Schizosaccharomyces pombe: one gene and its partners. The protein of the gene in region 1 binds, or shares a complex with, the protein of each later gene. Each region holds a gene or a part of one and is shown in the gene's direction. Other genes may lie near its edges.

Region 1 (4,243 bases):
GGAACCAAGCCTGACCATAAACCCTGGAAGCACGAGGAACACTGCCATCACGGTAGGTTCCCTCGTCCAGTTCCCCACAATGGAACCAAGCCCGATCACAAGCCATGGAAGCACGAGGAACACTGCTCATGCCATCATGATAAGTTCTCTCGCCCAGTTCCTCATAATGGAACCAAGCCTGACCACAAACCTTGGAAGCACGAGGAACACTGCCACCATGGTAAGTTCCTTCGTCCAGTTCCTCACAATGTAACCAAGCCTGACCATAAACCCTGGAAGCACGAGGAACACTGCCATCACGGTAAGTTCCCTCGTCCAGTTCCCCACAATGGAACCAAGCCCGATCACAAGCCTTGGAAGCACGAGGAACACTGCTCTTGCCATGAAGACCATTCAGTTCATGAGCGTCCTAGTGCTAAAGGGGCTCTCGAGGACTATATTCAAACATTTGTAGAAACTTTCCAAATTGATGGTATTCGTTTCGATGCTATGGGTGACAAATATAGAAAGTACTGGCCAGATTTTTGCAAAGCTGCTGGAGTGTTTTGCATGGGTGACTTGAAATCTTCCGACTCTTTAAAAGTTTGTGATTGGCAAAACGACTTGGAAGGGTTGAGTAACTTCCCTGTTAGAGAATCTGCTGTAAAAGCATTTTTGATGAATAATCCAGAGGGAATTGTTGATCTTGCCGACAAAATGACTGACATGCGCGGTTTGTGTGTCAATCCCCTATTGTTAGGAAACTTCGTTGAGAACAAAGACCTTCCTAGAATGGCTTCAATTTCTAGTGATCCAGCCACCTTAAAGAATGCAATTGCTTTTGTTCTTATGGGAGATGGTATTCCTATGATGTACAACGGCCAAGAACTTGCCATGCGCGGTGAAGAGGTTCCTTATAATCGACCTGCAATTTGGGAGAAAGGTTTCCCAAAAAGAAATCCTTACTATAAGTTCACGTCTACAATCAATCGTTTCCGCAAAGCTATGATTGAAAGCAAAGACGGAGAAGCTTTCTTAAATATGCAGTCGGATATTAGCATCGTTGATAAAAGAATATTGCTTTTACGACGTGGCAAAGTAATAACCGTACTCAACAACTTAGGTTCATATTACATTCATTTCCATTATACTGTTTCGGCAGAAGAGCACAAGTGGATGGACGTATTATCTTGCAAGTCCGTTCCAGTACAAGATAATCGACAGGTATTTATGGTACGCAACGGTGAACCCATGATCTTGTACCCAGAGGAATCGGCTTATGAGATGGGATTGTGCCCATCTCCAATTCAGCTTACTGAAGATTATAACAGTGAAGGTTCTCTCTCCATTAACGTTGAAGAAGCCCAAACATCAAAGGCACCAGAGCAAAATCGAGGATTTACCAATGTCCTCGCCGCTCTTTTATTATCTTTGTTAATGATTTTGTAGGTATACGTTCCTTGAAATCTAATAATATACAGATTTTTTATTTTACATAAACCTTTTTCATATAAAGTATGATGACTTAGTTTACAGACCCATAGGGCTCTGTACTGAAGTTCATGAACGATAAGTCACCTCAATATAAATAATAGACGGGTAAATCCATTTTAATTTTTGGCTTTAAATTACAAAGTACTCAAGTAAAGCTTTAGCCAAAAAAATTTAAACTCCCATAATGATATCCGACGCAAACCGTCCAAACGTATTCATAATTGCGGTGGTGTGGCTAACTTGTATTTGACACAAGGCGAGCTGCGATACCCAAACACGTCCAGTTCCCTTAAATACTTCGTTGTTGGTTTATATAGGTATTTCAGCAAGTTATACCTAATATTCAGATAATTTGCTTATGCTCAACACAGGTCTACGAAAAGGGCTTGCGCTTTCACCGATAACTCACCTTCTGAAACGATGTAGTTCAGTTACAGACAATGTGCATCGAGTAAACTATTGCTACAATTACCACACAGTTCCTAATCTTTCACAAAGAAATTTGCTACCACTTTTCAGTCCTGAAGCTCTTGACATTGCCTGGGACCAGCATCAACGTCAAGTAGTAAAAGAATTAAATGATCGAGTGAAGGGAACAGAACTTGAGGATTCATCTGTGTTTAACATTATCTTTCAAACAGCCGCTTTGCCTGAGCATGCAGCCACATTCCAGTTTGCAAGTCAAGCTTACAACAATCATTTCTTTTTTCAAAGCTTGATCGGAAAAAGAGCTGCAGATGCCAAAAAAAACTCAAAATATGAAGCTAATGCCGCTATCAATAAAGCAGTCAATGAAAACTTTGGTTCTAAAGAAAATTTACTTTCTAAAATTCATGAGCTTGCCTCAAATAGTTTTGGAGCATGTTGGCTTTGGATTGTAATTGATGATTATAATAGATTAAACTTACTGAGAACTTTTCAAGCAGGTTCTCCGTATCTTTGGACTAGATGGCAATCAAATGATCCCCATCTTATTTCTAGTGTGCCAGATTATAGTGCCAGACCTCGAAAATATGCGCATGTTCCCATTTTAAACCTTTGTTTATGGAATCATGCATATTATAAAGATTACGGTCTTTTAAATCGCTCAAGATACATCGACACATGGTTTGATTGCATAGATTGGTCTGTCATTGAGGAAAGATTGACTAATTCTTTGGTATGAAAGAAAGGTGCAATCAATTTAGATAATTATATCTCATCACAATCTTGTTATGATTTTAAAAAAACGCCTTTTTCTACTTTCACCTTATAAATTTCATTCTAATTTTAATAAAAATTGTGTTTTCTCTACTCGTCCTTGAAACTTCTACAGTAGACTGTTTTGGCTCATGCTCGTATTCTAAATGATTTTAGGCTAATTCCGAGCAATCGAGTCATATAAGTTAAGTAATTTATTAACCAATTAACCGATTTATTGCTTAGAGGTTGAGATTAAAAACATTTTTTTTGTAAAGCTAGAAAAGCGCCAATACACAATGTAATTTACAGTTTATAGTGTCTCTTTTTCATGCAAAATTAAAAAAAAAAGATACCACAGAAAGGAGAAATTGAAATTTTACTGGTGGTTTATTTGCAAAGATAGAGTGGATTAGATTGATATCTAAATGAGAATTGACTAGTAAAGAAAAAGAATGTTCAAGTTAAAAAATCAGTGAGATAAGTGGACGAGCAATTTATCTCCTTGCCGCTGGGTGAACATTTTAACTCTCAAAGAAAGACAGACACCCTTTAGTTATTTGACCACAGGGCTGAATAAACAAAGATTAAAGAGACAAGGGTAGATGCAAGATATCTTCAAGTTATAAAACGAATGAAATAACGTATAAAAGCGATTATTGGATAAATTAATACTCTTCGTCAGCTTCGTACATTTCGTTATCCATAGAATCTTGACCAACCTCTTCGTAATCCCTTTCTAAGGCAGCCAAATCTTCTCTGGCTTCTGAAAATTCACCTTCTTCCATACCTTCACCGACATACCAATGAACAAAAGCACGCTTGCTGTACATAAGGTCAAACTTGTGGTCCAGACGAGACCAAGCTTCAGCAATCGAGGTGGTATTTGAAAGCATACAAACAGCACGATTTACCTTAGCGATTCCACTACCAGGAACGTGTTGGGGTGGCTCATAGCAAATACCGATTTTGAAACCAGTAGGGCACCAATCAACAAATTGGATGGTGCGACGAGATTTAATGCTAGTAACGGCAGCCTGGACATCACGTGGGATAACATCACCACGATACAAAAGACAAGTAGCCATATAGCGGCCAGTTCGTGGATCACATTTTACCATTTGATTATAAGGCTCAAAGCACTGATTCGTAATCTCTTGTACGCTGTTGGATTCATGGAATGCTTTAGCTGCACTGACAATAGGAGAATAAGTGACTAAAGGAAAGTGAATACGAGGGTATGGCACAAGATTAGTTTGAAACTCATTTAAGTCAACATTTAAGCTACCAGCAAATCGAAGAGAAGCGGTGATAGAAGAGACAACTTGAGCAATAAGGCGGTTGAGGTTTTCATAGGTTGGACGCTCAATGTCAAGATTTCGGCGACAGATATCGTAACAAGCCTCATTATCAACCATAAAGGTACAGTCAGAGTTATCGAGAGTAGCATGGGTAGTGAGCACAGAGTTGTAAGGTTCAACAACGGATGTGCTCACTTGAGGGGCGGGATAAACAGAAAATTGGAGGTTAGATTTCTTTCCGTATTCCATGTTCAAGCGCTCCAGAAGTAAAGCACCCAAACCCGAGCCGG
Region 2 (3,584 bases), on another chromosome or scaffold:
TTGGAAGCTTATATATACCAAACCCTAGATTAGGACTCATCATAGTTGTCTTGTATATAAAACCTACTTGAGTTATAAACTATATTAAATCAAAAAACTATCAAGAAAATATTTTATTTATCACTTTGTTATTTACATGCTTAATACATTCGAATTTTCTATATACTAAGGTCTATTTCTATACTTCTCTGAGCACGCAAACGCAACATAAGTCTTATTTAATTTCTGAACATAAGAAATATAAGCTTATCTTTAACAGCTTTTCTTAAATTACCGCATAATTTTGTATAGGTTTATGTTTTTTTAAAGGTTCCAAATCGACGGATTTTTGAGTTTTAACCCTTCTTTCTTTATATCGTGGTTGTGATTCAATAAAAGTGAACCCAATTGTTATTTGTAACCATTGACGAAAATTATAGTACATTGAATTACTATTTGTTTACTAGTTCTATATTAACAATACCGGGAGGTTCAAAATCAATGATTACTACTTGTTTTCTTTTTCTTGTTATATTTGCTTGCTTGAAATCCTCTTTATAGTTATAATACATTTTTACAACCTGCTTTTGAGAATATTAATCTGGCAACTTTCAAGTAAATGATTTCGGTAATTGCACTGATTTTTGAAAAGTGTTGATTTCGAACGTCTTTCAAATTAAAACGGACATTTTTTTATGAAATTAAAATGCCTTGTGCTTTGTGTAATACTCGTTAAACAGCTTACCGAAACTAACAACCTTTTTAAGAAGCGAAACTTAATTAAATCAATATATTATACTGAGTAAATCAGTAATTTCTGGACGATCGGCCACATAAAGAAGCATTATAAATCGTTCTCCATACTGTTAGGCTTTTGTTTTCAATTCACGTTTTCTTTTCTGTAATTAAAATATCAGTAAAGAATTCGTTATGCCATTATTTTATAAAAAATTTTTATAATCCTATACAATTGTGAATTTACATTGTATTCAAATGCTTTTTTACATCCCTATATTTTACAGGCGTTCGCTGTTGTACCGCTTGTTTTTTTGAACACTGCTTATTATAATTTTTTCGATTATTACATTTGCGAATACCTTTCGAGGATTTTGGAACTACTAAACGCACAAAAATTCGCTTCCCACTTCTGACAACTTTGTGGGTTTCATGGTAATTTGAATGCTATAATATTAACAGATTGACACAGCGATTTAGATCCATATTTTATTCTGTACAAAGTAAATCTCTAACATTTGGTAGACGGCTTTTGCCGTAATAACCGTTGGTTTTGCAATTTTGCGCCTTGTTTTCCAAACATAGTAAACCGGTGCTTTTAGTTTATTATATAGTGATTTATTGTGAACTTTAGTATCGTGTCGTTAATATACTACTATCCAGTGATTACTGCAATGTCCATTAACTTGCTAATAGTGTGTAACACTAGCTACACCGTTCACTACTTACTATTCTTCCAGTACAGAGAGAGGTATTTGGAAGTGACTAGCTAAACTGCATTCATACCTCTTTTCTTTCCTCAAAACACCATTCTGTATAGAAAAAAAAGGCTTTTATTGTTGGACTGCTTATAAAAGATTAGGATTGTGTTAAAAAAGTCGAAATGCAATTGCATTATGTTTTTTCGCATTTGCAAAATTCATTTCGCGCTCGCAAGTCGTTAGCAAGCGTTCCTAACTGTAACAGTGTGCTCGAGTTATGTGCTGTTTTGTATCATCAAGGATTTTTAAGCTCGATTCAACGCGGAGATATTCATGGACCCGATGCTTTACCCACAATCACCACTAGGCAAAATGTAGCGACCCGCCGTCTATGGTTGGGTTTAAAGTACTTTGAGGGAAAACCGGTTCTTCACTACATACGTGCAGTATCAAAGCCTAGTAGAAAGGTGAACTTGACTCCTTCTGAGTTGTTGCAATTTGCCAAAGGAAGGAAAGTTAGCTTTGTGAATGGGTTGGAGCCTGCAGAAGTTGGAATTGTAGAAACTAAACATGGTATAATGAGTATTGACGATGCAATTAAGAATAATTTGGGAGGAAACGTTATATGTCGAGTTAAATGAGGCTTCGATGGAAAAAGTTATTATTACGTACAACTTCTTTCCGGATACATTGTCTCCTTTCTCTATGTTAATAAGAGAATAAACATTACTCATTTGTTTTGAAAATTGAAGCAATATCTAACAGGCTGGTTAGATTTAAACTAATATGTTTAAGTTTTCCTTCTCTTCAGCTAAGGATCAATGGCAGAATTCCTTTTAAATCTCCCACTCCTTTCATAATAGTTTGTGAATTGAGATACTGCATATTTACACATCCCATTCATTAAAAAACATAGTCTTAATTCCCATTCCGCCAAAACATAAATCCTTTTGTTTTACTATTATTCGACTTGTGATTTACGAATAAATGTTTTTTTACACCTGAATTTATCCCGTCTCCTTTTGTCAACTCACAATATTCCATATGCTTAAAATTATACCCGCAGAAGCTTTTTTGGAATAGAAAAAATATTTGTGTTACTCTAGTAATGTAATGATAAACATGTTTAAAATACATAAGGAAAATCGTTTTATAAAATATATAATCGATGGAGATTGTATGCGACTTCTAAAGCATTGTGTAAATTAAATAAGGTTGATTAAGTACATAGGAAGTATTTACAAATGTATAATCTGTGAATGACAAGGATATGTATTTGTCAATACTGCATTTGAAAAATATATTATAAAACCATTATTAAGAATACAATTTATTTAGATCTATAATGACTATGGATAACAACTAGTCGCAATGGTGTAGTTGGGAGCATGACAGACTGAAGATCTGTTGGTCATCGGTTCGATCCCGGTTTGTGACACTTTTTATCAGCAATTACAGCTTTGTAAATAAAGCATTTAACACAATGAATTTTGTGCCAACGCTGAGTAGGAATAATATCTTTCTCTACATACTCTTTAACTGGGCAATCCTGGTAATGTATTTGAGTAATTAAGCAGTATTGAGTCTGTTTTCATCGGCATTGTTATTTAGTAAAATGATTGATTGATGAATGTACACTCTTTCGTTAATTGCAAGAATTTATGCTGTGATAAACAATCATTTGCGCCTTGGATTTTAAGTAGGCTAAGATTTATTTTAAATACTAATGATGTTGTAAATATAAAAAGGACGGGACTCTTTTTAAGAAATATAACTAAATAACACGTGGAAATGACAAAAAACTTGGGTAGTTATTTTCAGAATTGTTCAAGCAAAGCTCAAATTTCTTTCTTTATATATTTATTATTTTCACATGTTCAAGATTTTATTGTCAGAAGCAAATGGCTTTAGTCCACAGTAAATTTAAATAACCAAAAAAATTCATTATTCCTATTAACCGATCTTTATTAACAATATTTTCTCTTCATTCCATACATGGTCGATTGTCCTGCTGCAGCTCAAATCACTATTTCAATTTCATAGCACAGAGCCAACTAACCTTACTCAATGATCCACTAAACAATATTTCGTCTCTTAAACAACAAATAGTCATCTTGATTTGCATTTAATTCAATTGATAATATAGACTTATACATTTATACCTTCCAC
Region 3 (3,910 bases), on another chromosome or scaffold:
TACACTAGTGTTTATGCAAAAGTGAAATTTACACTGATTCATAAAGCTAAAGAATTTTAAACCGCTAAAGTAACGCGTTGCTCCTCGTAAAATATCTAAAGGTAAAATGATGATGGGTTAGTAAATTTGAAATATTCGATGGATTAAATAAGAAGCTGGGGAAAAATTATGCAAAAACTATTAATAAGAAGAAAGAATTGTCATTAAAATCAAATTGTATACATTAGTCAACCTTGGTCAGAAGAGGTCTGATGAAAGCTATGAATCAACGAAGAAAAAATGGAAATAATGCTTTATTCTTCAATAATTATCAATATTCAAACTTAATAAACGGCTAAGTTTACAAATTATAAAGCCATTAACACTTTCAACACTTTTTTAAATTTTATTTTATCAGGGCAGATTTACGATACTTCATGAATTGTTAATAGTCAATTAATTTCAACAAAATTTTTAATTAATTATTTTAAATTATCCATGTCAATTCCATCACAATGTCAAGCCAAATTGTATTAAAGCAATATTGCAATGGAATAAATTAATAAAATATCGTTGTCTGAAGATTTCTGTAATAGGTTATTTATTCAATTATTTTATAATTTTTTTTTTTTTTTTTTTTTTTTTACAAATGACTCATGTAAACATTAACAGTCTAATATTACTGTCTACAGATTGTTATATGCATTGACTTCCATTCGTGTTGAGTACTCTAAAATACTCAGCTCCTTAACATTTTTGCAAAGAACAAGTTATGTGGGTCAAGGTATTTAGTTTTTACTTAACTTAAAAGTAATACAATACAAACATTGTAAACATCACGGTTAAAGAACCCAATTAAGCACTATTTCACGTTCATAATAATATAGTTAAATAAAAAATACAGATTTTTTAAATCAAGTTCAATAAAAGATTATTTCGTAAAAAATTTTTTATTTTACTTTGATAGGCTTGAATTAACACATACAGGGAATAATAATGACTAGACGCTGAGCAGATGACTTGCCATCACTCTGTTTACCCCATTTTCTTAAAAACATTGCGTCTTTTTCTTATATTTAAATCATTCTTAAATGGAGTTTCCTGTTTTCTCATGAAACTTACAATTGAATCGAACTTCTTTTAATTATTTACTAAATAGCGCTAGTAATGAAAGTGCAATATTATCTAGCTGCGCATTGTAGTATCTTGTTTGACTTCTGTGAGTTTTCATTGTGATCGGTAATATCATATTATATATAGGTGTGATGTGGGTAGCAATTTGTTGTAAGTATTTATACATGGGTTACGTTGTTACCTGCCATTAATTAACATATAAACGAACCTGTTTCTGTTCAGATGTACTCTGTTTATAATCTTTTGGAGTAAACATGATCAAACACAAACAAGTACTCAAAAGAATAGTTATCAGCAATTATTAGTAAACGAATCTTAAATCTATCCTAACAGATGACATATAGTGATACGCAGCGTAACGTAGTGTAGTCTTGCTTACGAAAATCAAAATATAAGGATAACTAACACACTTTTTAAACAGCGAATGCCAAAAAAGGATGGGAAGCAAGTGCTATTAAATTCCTAAGAAAAAAAAAAGCTTGAAAGTATTATTAGGTGTTTTTATTCAATAGATGTTATAAATGCAATTGAGTAGAATCGATGCTATTTTACGTTACTAACCTTCATTCCAGTCTATTATGTGGTTTTTACTGGTTCTAACTACTAAGATTTAGTGTGTTATAATTATATACAACGAAGTCAAGTCAAGGACAACAATGTTTATACATTCTTCACTATCCCCTTCAAGTACCTTTTTGTAGCTTATTTAATTGTTTTGAGCATTTGGATTGTTAAATTTTAGAAAAAAAGTTTTTGTTAGATTCAGATTTCCATTTATAACGGCCACTCTTTTCGTTTCAAAGAAAATATAAAATCCGGTATCATACACTACTGCGCATTCGTTAAATGTGGTTTATTTTTTTTTATAATACAAATATTACATATATTTAGTGTTTTGGGTGGTTATAAAATGGCTTTTAATCCCCTTTTATCTTTATTGAAAGCAGATGCCATATTCCTCGGGCAACTTTCCAAATCAAGCTTTTGTGCTACTAGTAGAGCTTTCTCTGTTTTCTATTTTACAAGATTTAAGCGAAGTGCTTATGTGTCAGCGCCTTTTGGAATCGAGCCTCATGACGAGAAGGAATTGAAAACAATTGATGATAACGTCCATTCCAATAATCTATCATGGCAGAAAATACAAGAGCACGAGGTCATACGTGAATTGTATAGGAAAGCTGCTTATGAGCTTCCTGGACTTACGCGTAAGTTTACTGGGTAGTTTTACCTTAGGAATTCTATTTCACAATCACTTTAATATGCTTAATGTTCCATTTTCTCTGACAATTATAGCTTACACACAGTCTTTTAAAAAGCCTGCTGATAGCCAGATCTTTAGGTTTGAATCTGATGTCCAAATGTCTTCGTTTGAGAAAATGAATCCGAAGGTCGTTGTTACATTTAAAGTTACGAATATTCCTTTGCTAGAGGAGAAACAACGACATGTATTACGATTATTGGTTGGACCAAGATATAATCCGGAGGAGGATTTAGTCAGAATATCTTCCGACAAGTATTCTTCTGCACTACAAAATAAATATCATCTTATAAAGATATTAACTTCGCTCATTGAAGAATCGAAGAGAAATGCTGAAAAATTTTCACATGTCCCATTGAATACTGGCCATTGGAAATACAAGAAGTGTGATAAACGGATGCCACAGGAATGGCTCGCAGACGCAACTACACTCACTTCTAAAAAGAAAACAACGATTGGCAAGCAATCACATAATACAGTACTTGAACGAGAATCGATAGCAACTACAGATGAATAATATGAAAGGAAAGTTTGTTTAAGTTACTATTAAAATTAACGAGTCTATAATGTAAGCTAATATTGAAGGAATTAATCCTTCTCATTACTATATTAAGATGAAATAAAACTGTAGTATAAAAGGTACTGTTTCTCTAATCATAAATTTCTAACGGAGGGATTTTGTCAATACTACTGAGCCAATTTCTTGCGTTTGATTCGGTAGACATCCATTTTAATGGAAGTTCTACCAACTGTCCCCGAATGCCACGTAGTAAGTCGTAAACTACACGTTTGTCAGGAACTTGTAAACCATTATTAGTACGGGTTTTTGGTTTCTCTGTCTTCGAATCTTCACTTGCACTCGTGTTACCACTACCTTGGGAACCAGCCTTTGGATTTTTTGGATCATTCTCTGACTTTTCATGAGTTTCGTGTAGATTTGACAACTCCTCCTGACGCCAGCGGGCTTGCTCTTCTTTAAAGCGTTTTCCATATTTTTTCCACTCATTATATGATTCCCACGTTAGCATCTCGTCATCCGGTACACATCGAAATATGTGCCGATAAATAGTAGTATTGTTTGAAGCCACTTTAGACCATATGTCTTCAAAAAATTCATCGCAGACGGGGTCCTCAAAGCTTGAAGCGTCAAATTTAGGAATTGTTTCTCCACTAATAGGATTCACCTCAAGCAATGGTATATCATCATAAAACACAAGTCCATTTCCACAGTGTGGACGACTGGGTTCAGGCACTAGATGATCAGGGTCTTTAAGTACCATTGGACGTTGATCCTCCCCACATTGAGAGAACTTGGAAAGTTCATATAATGAGTCCTCCTTTGTTTTCAGTGATAAGGGGATGCCGCCTACTAGGGCGTTGGCTATAACATCAGGCCCTTTTTTAGACTTCTCGTAGTTCTTTTCAAACTCGACCTTGTCCTTTTGAGTTTTAATATTGAATTCAATCGAAGAAGGAATTAAACTGACACGTTGATCTAGTTTCTTCATACTCTTTTCAGCTTTTCGTAAGATGTCTGGA

Evidence for each region. Proteins that work in one complex are often made in the same cells at the same time.
Region 2: SPOM_SPBC16A3.14 (region 1) and mrps8 share a complex: the UniProt entries of both Schizosaccharomyces pombe proteins name them as parts of the mitochondrial small ribosomal subunit.
Region 3: SPOM_SPBC16A3.14 (region 1) and rsm24 share a complex: the UniProt entries of both Schizosaccharomyces pombe proteins name them as parts of the mitochondrial small ribosomal subunit.

What each region holds. Positions count from the first base shown.
Region 1 is NC_003423.3:4,269,526-4,273,768, reverse strand, and holds SPOM_SPBC16A3.14 (mitochondrial ribosomal protein subunit S26), read left to right. Parts: upstream 1-1,736; 5' UTR 1,737-1,831; coding exon 1,832-2,638; 3' UTR 2,639-2,778; downstream 2,779-4,243. Other genes in the region: meu7 (alpha-amylase 4), read left to right, coding at 1-1,428; nda2 (tubulin alpha 1), read right to left, coding at 3,321-4,243. UniProt on the Schizosaccharomyces pombe protein: Component of the mitochondrial ribosome (mitoribosome), a dedicated translation machinery responsible for the synthesis of mitochondrial genome-encoded proteins, including at least some of the essential transmembrane subunits of the mitochondrial respiratory chain.
Region 2 is NC_003421.2:330,497-334,080, reverse strand, and holds mrps8 (mitochondrial 37S ribosomal protein uS8m), read left to right. Parts: upstream 1-1,514; 5' UTR 1,515-1,597; coding exon 1,598-2,056; 3' UTR 2,057-2,601; downstream 2,602-3,584. UniProt on the Schizosaccharomyces pombe protein: Component of the mitochondrial ribosome (mitoribosome), a dedicated translation machinery responsible for the synthesis of mitochondrial genome-encoded proteins, including at least some of the essential transmembrane subunits of the mitochondrial respiratory chain.
Region 3 is NC_003424.3:562,147-566,056, forward strand, and holds rsm24 (mitochondrial 37S ribosomal protein mS35), read left to right. Parts: upstream 1-1,779; 5' UTR 1,780-2,023; coding exon 2,024-2,318; intron 2,319-2,327; exon of another isoform or gene 2,328-2,406; coding exon 2,407-2,888; 3' UTR 2,889-2,927; downstream 2,928-3,910. Other genes in the region: phospholipase D Pld1, read right to left, coding at 3,022-3,910. UniProt on the Schizosaccharomyces pombe protein: Component of the mitochondrial ribosome (mitoribosome), a dedicated translation machinery responsible for the synthesis of mitochondrial genome-encoded proteins, including at least some of the essential transmembrane subunits of the mitochondrial respiratory chain.